Regions from separate parts of the Mus musculus genome. Here region 2 is reported to be linked to region 1. The links are microRNA targets in miRTarBase. Many come from high-throughput screens and were not tested one by one. Region 1 holds a microRNA gene; the other region holds the end of a gene's coding sequence.
The links. The annotated mature microRNA mmu-miR-339-5p reads UCCCUGUCCUCCAGGAGCUCACG and lies in region 1 at 2,741-2,763, opposite strand. An mRNA with a match to its seed (bases 2 to 7 or 8) in the 3' UTR can be bound and repressed. Matches are read on the target gene's strand: a 7mer-m8 pairs with bases 2 to 8, a 7mer-A1 pairs with bases 2 to 7 and ends in A, and an 8mer does both.

Region 2: the mRNA of Tasor is a reported target of mmu-miR-339-5p. Seed matches in the 3' UTR shown: 7mer-A1 at 1,173-1,179 and 7mer-m8 at 596-602.

What each region holds. Positions count from the first base shown.
Region 1 is chr5:139,366,968-139,371,448 of GRCm38, forward strand. It overlaps Mir339 (microRNA 339), which reads right to left and starts at 2,778; the gene lies at 2,683-2,778. All of the region lies in intron 2 of 3110082I17Rik (RIKEN cDNA 3110082I17 gene), which reads right to left.
Region 2 is chr14:27,480,983-27,483,982 of GRCm38, reverse strand. Tasor (transcription activation suppressor) reads right to left here. Exons shown (of 24, transcript NM_001114879.2): 24 at 428-3,000. The coding sequence ends at 2,586. Ccdc66 (coiled-coil domain containing 66) reads left to right here. Exons shown (of 18, transcript NM_177111.3): 17 at 51-175; 18 at 1,381-1,582. The coding sequence ends at 1,467. Among named protein-coding and RNA genes, the nearest start is that of Ccdc66, 26 kb to the left of the region's middle.

The sequences.
Region 1 (4,481 bases):
AGTGGGTGTCAGGTCCCCTGAAACTGGAGTTATTGGAGAACGGGATGGTTTGGTCACATGGGTACTGGTGTTGAGACTGGATCCTCTGGAAGAGGGACAAGTGCTCTAAACTGAGACCCCCATCTTTCCAGCCCCCTGGTTTTCAAAGAGGAACTTGGTACGTGGCCCAGGCTGGCACTTCTCCTGTCTCTGTAGCCTCTGGAGTCCCGGGATTAGAGCTGCCCTCTTTTCCAGCTCTTTTTTAAAAGAGAGGTAGGGTGTGGCACACACATGCTGGGTGGAGATGGCTCGGTGGGTTAGAGCACTTGTTGCTCTTACAGAGGACCTGGGTTTGGTTCTCAGCACCCACATGGTAGCTCTCAATCATTTGTAATTGTAGCTCCAGAGGGCCCAAAGTCCTCTTCTGAACTCTGGGTACATATGTAATGCTCATTCAGGCATGCATATAAAACATGCACACTGGCCTGAGCGAATGCTGCACCCACGGAGGGTCCTTGTATGGATGGTGGGCTCAGCTCTTTGCTGTCCCTACCAAAGCCAAGGAAGGCTGACACTTTGGGGCCAGTGCAGCATCAGCAGTCTCCCAAATGGCACACCCTGAGGGTTCCTCCACCCACATCTCCATCACCACTCATGGTTTGCACTGATCCAGGGCTGGCGGAGCAGGCAGCCTCTGTCCCATGCTAACAGGCAAGGCTTGCTGGGTGACTCTGGAGATTGAGAAGAAAACTGGACCATCTCCCAACAGCCTTGGTAGCTAAATTCAAGACTGCCTGGTGTCCATGACAGGGCACAGCCTGTGTGTGTGTGTGTGTGTGTAGGTTAGCTGGTAAGCTGACCTGGAATTATAAAGCCCAGGCTAGCTAGCGTCCCCTTAGGGGCAATCTTGCCTCAGGCTCCCTGAGTTCTGGATGTTGAGAAGAGTCCTGGCCAGGCATTCTGAGCCACACTGGTAAGGGGAGTCTGGCCTGCTTGTGCCTGTTGCTGGTGAGGAGGCTTAACTCTACCATCTGTAAGCAGGGGCATCCTGGTGAGTGGGTGTTTTCTGCCAGCTCAAAGACTCCAGGCGGCACTTTCTCCCTTGCCCTCACCAGGCTGTGTGTAAACCCAGGACCAACCTTGAACCAGGGCAACTGCGTGGGCCTGCTTCTCTTGTTTGTTCCCCAGGTTTAATCAGGAAGCCCTGGTTGAACCTTACTGTTTTTGAAGCCTCAGGCGCTGAGGAGGCACACAAAGGTGGGTGCTGCAGCAAACCGCAGCTTCAAGCACCCCACCACTGCCCCTCCCTTGGGTCCCATGGGGGTAAAAGAGGCCTTCTGTGTAGGAGGAAGGGCAAGGGCCCACTGTCCTTCCCCAATGAAGTTCACAGGGCAGAGAGATGTTCTCCTTCTCCACACAGCTAGAAGGAGCTGCTGGCCCTGGCCAGGGCATCACCTGTGCTGGGGCAGTATGACTGGGGATATTCTCTTAATAGGGATTTGTGCTGTCCTGGGGAGGCAGTCAATGCCCAGCGTTTTTGAGCATCCACTGGGCTCAAAAACATCTTGTTCAAACGTTCTTGGAATTGTGGAGGAGGTTGGTGAATATGTCCTGAGGATTGAAAGTCCAAGGCTAGCTTGAGCTTAGCAAGTCTGTCTCAAACATAAACAAAAACCCCTCAAAGGTTAGTTGTAGACCTTGGCAGTAGAGGCCCTGGTAGCCAGTGCCAGACACACAGCTCTGTAGGACCTTCTTTCTTGGAATGACTGAGTCAGGTGTAAGGATGAACACAGGTGAGGGTAGAAGGACCCTCTGTTGTCCCCACCCCATCATGTGACCAGAGCAGCTGTACTGGGGGCGCAGCTGAGTGGCAGGGAATCCAGTCATTTGACCCGCTTCACACAGGACAGAGTCCCAAGGGCACAGCAGATGGTCGATGGAGCCCAGCACCTGGCCTGTCTATCACATACCCAGGTGGTGCCTCCAAGGCTGGGGCATGGTCTCTGGTCCCTACCACCCCTATACCTGTTCCCCAGACATTGGGAATGGCCTACAAGTGACAGCGATGTTTGTGGGGGGAGACCACGAAGCCTGCTGAGGCTGACGAGCTGGGTGCCAAGGCCAGTGGACTCTGTTCTCATTCCCCAGCCCAGAATCAGCCCTCCTCCATTCAGTTGGAGCCAGCCCGAGTCCAGGGTCCCACAGAGGTGTTCGACCTTGAGAGCCCATTCCGGTTCACAGACCTCAGCAGACTGCTGCCCGGCTATGCACTCACTCGGTAGCAAGATTTCCAGAAGACAAAGCAAAAGCACAACAACATAATGAAGAGAGGGGAGAGAGTTTGTTTTAAAGGAAGCTTTTTATTTGGAGGTAATTACTGAAACACAGTGGATGTAGAAGTGACCCAGGGACACCAACTGCCAGGACATAGGTCACACGCAGTAGAATCAACTGGTGCTACAGAGGACACACACAGAGGGAGAGACCTGGAAGGCTCCCTCCTGGCTCCTCTCCCCTCCCCCTCAGTGTCTGCGTAGGTTAAGATGATTAGGACCCCAGAGGGGTCAGTGCCTTGCGTCACCGCACAGAGAAACCAGAGTCCCCTCCATCCACGGAACAACCTGCAGATCTGCACAATCGAGTTCAAGAAGGTACAGCATGAACAGCCAGCGACTGAGCACCCTGGTCTGCAGGCAAGGGTCTGTGGACAGTGCAGGGGTGGACACCGGCTCTGTCGCCGAGGCGCTCACAGGCAGGCATACGTGAGCTCCTGGAGGACAGGGATAGTGGCCACCCCGTCCAGCTCTGCACAGCTGTGCTCTCACCACCTTGGTGCCAAGGCAAGGGTCACACCCACCTAGGGATCCCCTTCTAGATATGACTTTTCAAATGCACAAAATGTCACTTAAGCCCCATGCTTGAAAAAGACAAAGATGACAGATGCGGCACCCTGCCTCCTCAGTGACCTGAATGGCGGAAGTGAGCAGCAGATCTGATGTATCCCTGAGAAACAGGAGACTGGGCCATCACCAGCTGCCACAGGACACACGAATCCCCAGAGGTGATGTTGTCACCGCCACCAAGCCCAGGCTCTGTCCAGGCCACAGGTCCTTCTGCAGTCACGGCAGAAACACCCTGTGTCACTTACTTGGGGGTTAAACACAGGCTAAAGCCTAAGTCTTGACCTCAGGCTGCCCAGAGAATTAACTTTCTCACAGACTCCAGCACAGACCACAAGGCCTCTAGGCTGTGAGTCCCCGACTATACATCGGTTTTCTTGGCTCTCTGGCCTCAGCTCACCTGACTCAGGCTGACTGGCCCCACCAACAAGGTTATGAAGGTCCCATGGGTTTTCTAGGTCTAACCTCTCCCACTGCTATCTCACATGTCCCCAGTTCCAACACAGGAGCAGACAGACCCCAGGAGCTTGAACAGGGTGCAGATTTCCTTGACTAGGCTGAGGGGCTGGCTCCAGAAGATAAAACTTCCGTCCCTTTGCCTGCAGATCACAGGAACTGGTCCCAGCAGCTCTGGCACAAGTTTAAGTGGGAAGCCCAACTCGGCCATCAGTGAAGCTCCTGGTCCAAGAGCAAGGACAGAGTCAGCCCCTGCCACCTGAATCACGGGCGTGAGGGCGACACACACAACAAGCTCCCACCTAGGTCTACTCAGAAATGGCAGAAAGCAGCCAACAGGCAGGGAAGAGGGCCCTGCAGCGGGGGAGATGGGGAGGTCTCTAATCAGACCCCTGCAGTAGGAGACCCTGAAGTGAAGGAGAGGGAGGGGCTTGCATCTATAACTGAGCATTCCCAGGCCAGGAAAAGCCTGCTGACACAAGAACCTGTGTACTGTGCAGAGCCTGCGCTGCGTCCCTGAGCCGAGCGAGACTCAGTCTCATTTCAGCTGCAGTCTGCCTCCTTCGCCCTAGCTGGAGGCCTTCTTTCTAGCCAGGGCCAGGTACCCACATCCCCTTCTCTAGAGCTTCCCGGCATGCCCACCACCCAGGGATGCTTGTTCTAGCCTGGTTTCCACGTGCCCCACTCCCAATTCTATTTGAGTGTGCCGGTAATCAAAATGCTTTTGATTTTGGCTTCCTCTGGTAGAGCAGCTGTGTTCACACATCCCAAACTGCCTAGTGGACCCCCAAGTGACATTAAGGTCATGGAAGCTTTCTTGCTGTGGCCAAGGAAAGGCCATTTCTCCTGCTACAACGGGCCCAGCAACCACCCTGCAAGCAAGGTCAGATGTCTCTGCTCACCTGGGTAAGTGACTCCCTAGCAATCCAAAACTCCCCACCCCCCTTTTTTTAAAACAGCAGAAATGTGAAGACAGCTCTGAGCCAACGAGGGCAGAGATGACCAGAACAAACACTGGGGCACAAACAACACTCGCAGGATCCTCTATAGTTCCTACTTTTTGTGCTGATCTTGCTATTATAATGCAGAGCGGATTTCTAAAGCTTGAAAAGCCCACTAAGCAAAGTGTGGGAGTCATCCAAGGTG
Region 2 (3,000 bases), not on the chromosome of region 1:
TAAGTCCTAAGTAATTTATTTGACTATTGTAAAATTTATCTATCCTTCAGATTGTGCCCGAGAACAAGAGCTATTTGACTCTGACCATATCAGGGATCCACTTCTTAATCCTAAATTAGTGAAAAACAGGGACCGACAGCAAGCTATCCTTAAGGGGCTTTCAGAACTAAGACAGGTATGCACTCTTCACCAAGTAACTGTTTTTAGATGTTTGTTCTCTTTATATGGTGGCAGTGTTTGCACCCCAGTTTATAACAGTTATGTTTTCAATTCCTATATATTAACCTTGAACAGAAATCAAAAGAACCTTTTTCCTTGAATTTGCTCTCAAATTACCATTTTCACCTGCATAATCAACATTTGGGAAGCAGGAGGATCCTAGTCCAGGCTGCATATAGTAGTTCTGAGAATCAAAGTCCCGAGACAGTTTGCATATTAAGACAACTTTTATTTAAAAATATGTACATATGCCAGGCGGTGGTGGCGCACACCTTTAATCCCAGCACTTGGGAGGCAGAGGCAGGTGGATTTCTGAGTTCGAGGCCAGCCTGATCTACAAAGTGAGTTCCAGGACAGCCAGGGCTACACAGAGAAACCCTGTCTCAAAAACCAACCAAACAAACAAAAAAGTACATTTAAAACATCAAAACACAATAAAGTGCTAAAACCAAGAAACAAATATACAATTATGCTTTAATGAATTTTAACCAATATGGTCCATTTTTTAAAGTTAAGAACAGAATATATCTGTTCAAAGAATGAAATTATACATTTTTACTACCTTTTACACAGGCAAAAATAAACCCTGCTAATGTGCTGAAACCTATCCTGAGGCTATTACACTGTATTTGGCCTGTGTGGTGCTTACCCTCTGCTCAGACACCATTTACCTGTGTCCTTTAAGAGCTTACATATAGCTAGCTTGAGCTCAGGACTCAACCTGGGTGAACAAAGGAGCAAGAGAAGGAAGGACTGGGATGTTCGTGCTTCACCTCACCCTTATTCGTGCTGTTCAGCAGAGCTGAGAGCAATACTGGGAATGGTAAGACTCTGACTGTGTCTTCTCATGATCTTAGAGCACTTGAGAGTAGATTTCACTTTAGAAATCCAATAGTGGTAAACAAAAAACAAAAAACAAAAAAAAGAAAAGAAAAACAAACAAACAAAAACTATCCCTGTTGTTCTCATAGTAGAAAATGTTCTAGCTAGACAACACCCAAATTACAAGAATTACTTAAAAAAAAAAAAAGAAACTTAAGCTATGTCTAATAACAATTCTATCCTGAGAGTTCAATGATATTTTGTATCATGTATTTTTGAAAGAGAAAAAAATATTTAAGTTGGTTATATACCTTCACTAAAATATCAATGTGATTGCAGGGTCTTCTCCAGAAACAAAAGGAGTTGGAAACGAATCTCATACCCTTAACTGCAAACCAAGAAGATAATTTTAGTTCTTCGTTTTAAATATGCTTACCACGCAACAGCATTTTTCAAGCACACAATGACAAACTTTACATTATGTAGTGAAATGATGTATTTTCTAAGTACAATAAAAAAGTTTATAGTTCAAAAAAAAAAATCTCTTGTCATGTTAGGGTATAAAAGTACTTTCTACTTACCAGGGTAGAATCTGGAGATTCCTGACCTGCTAACAGCATTGCTCATTTGTTCTATTAAAAGTTCTTTTAGGGCATAAAAAGTACTATTAACACAAGGATAGACTCTTAATAATACAAATTCATTTCACTCTGGTTTTTCTCTTCTGTAAATTTGGTTTTCATCATATTAAGTGGAGATTCTAGTTTTCACACTTTGAAGTTAACATTAGTAACAGTAGGCAAGAGATGAGGGTTTAAAAATTTATCTCCACATTTAGTGTAACACCAAGTTCGAATTAAAACTTCAAGATCTGTTCCAAATTCTCCAATAGTATTGAAAGCAGAAGCTCCACTTTTAAAAGTTCATTTAACTAAAGGATCACACAAAATATTATTTATCAAAGAGATCTCAAAAAGTTAACCAAAATTTAAATGAAGCAAATGTTTTCACAGCTAAACCTAAAGACTGAGAAAATTCTACTTGGTATTCTATACAATAGATTCACTACCTAGAATTCAACTGTACTGTTAAATATAGCTTGAGGTACTAAGCCAAAATCCTATAAATATTTACACTGCTGGCTTATACCTGTGTAAAAACACTATACAAAAGCTTTAATCAAAATAAATAGTTGACATTTCAGCAAAATTAGTTATCATCTGACATTAAAGAACGTCATTACTATTTACCATTCTTTTATAAACATGAAATTTTACATATAAAACAGACTTCAATTTGAAGCCCAAGTACAGGTAACAAATGTAAAACTGAAAGGTGCTAACATGAGATAATCTGATTACAATATGTCAAAAAATTATTTCAAATTTTCAGATGCTTCAATGTTATATAGGCCATCATGATTTAAATAAACAGGAAAGGAAAAAAAATTCAGAAAGGCCAAGAAACTTGTTTATAAATCATCAATACAAAGTCCACCACAACCTATTTTTTTTAATCACTGTAATTTCTCCTTGAACACATCCTTAACTTAATGGAGATTTCTCTGTACCCGAGTTTTTGTAAGCAGATAAAAAGTAATTTTCATTTTCTTGAGACCGAGTTGATGAAAGGGCATATGGTGTCCCCAGAAACGTCTGGTGCGTGAGAACATTAAAATGACTACACTGATGGGACATTTGTAACTGATTTTGGTCAGCCTGAAAGTCGCTATACGCATCCTGTTCTGCTGAATTGCTGCTCTCTCCTTCAGAGCATACTCTATCAATAGGAGCGCTCGCTTCACAATCAATTAAATAAGTCTTATCTTCTAATAAACTGTTTTGCACATCAAGAGATGACTGCAATTCAATTTGGATATTCTTTTTTTGATCTGTTCCACTTGATCCTTTGGTTTCTCCCGCCAATATTTCTGAATGAACATTGCTGAATACTTCTATA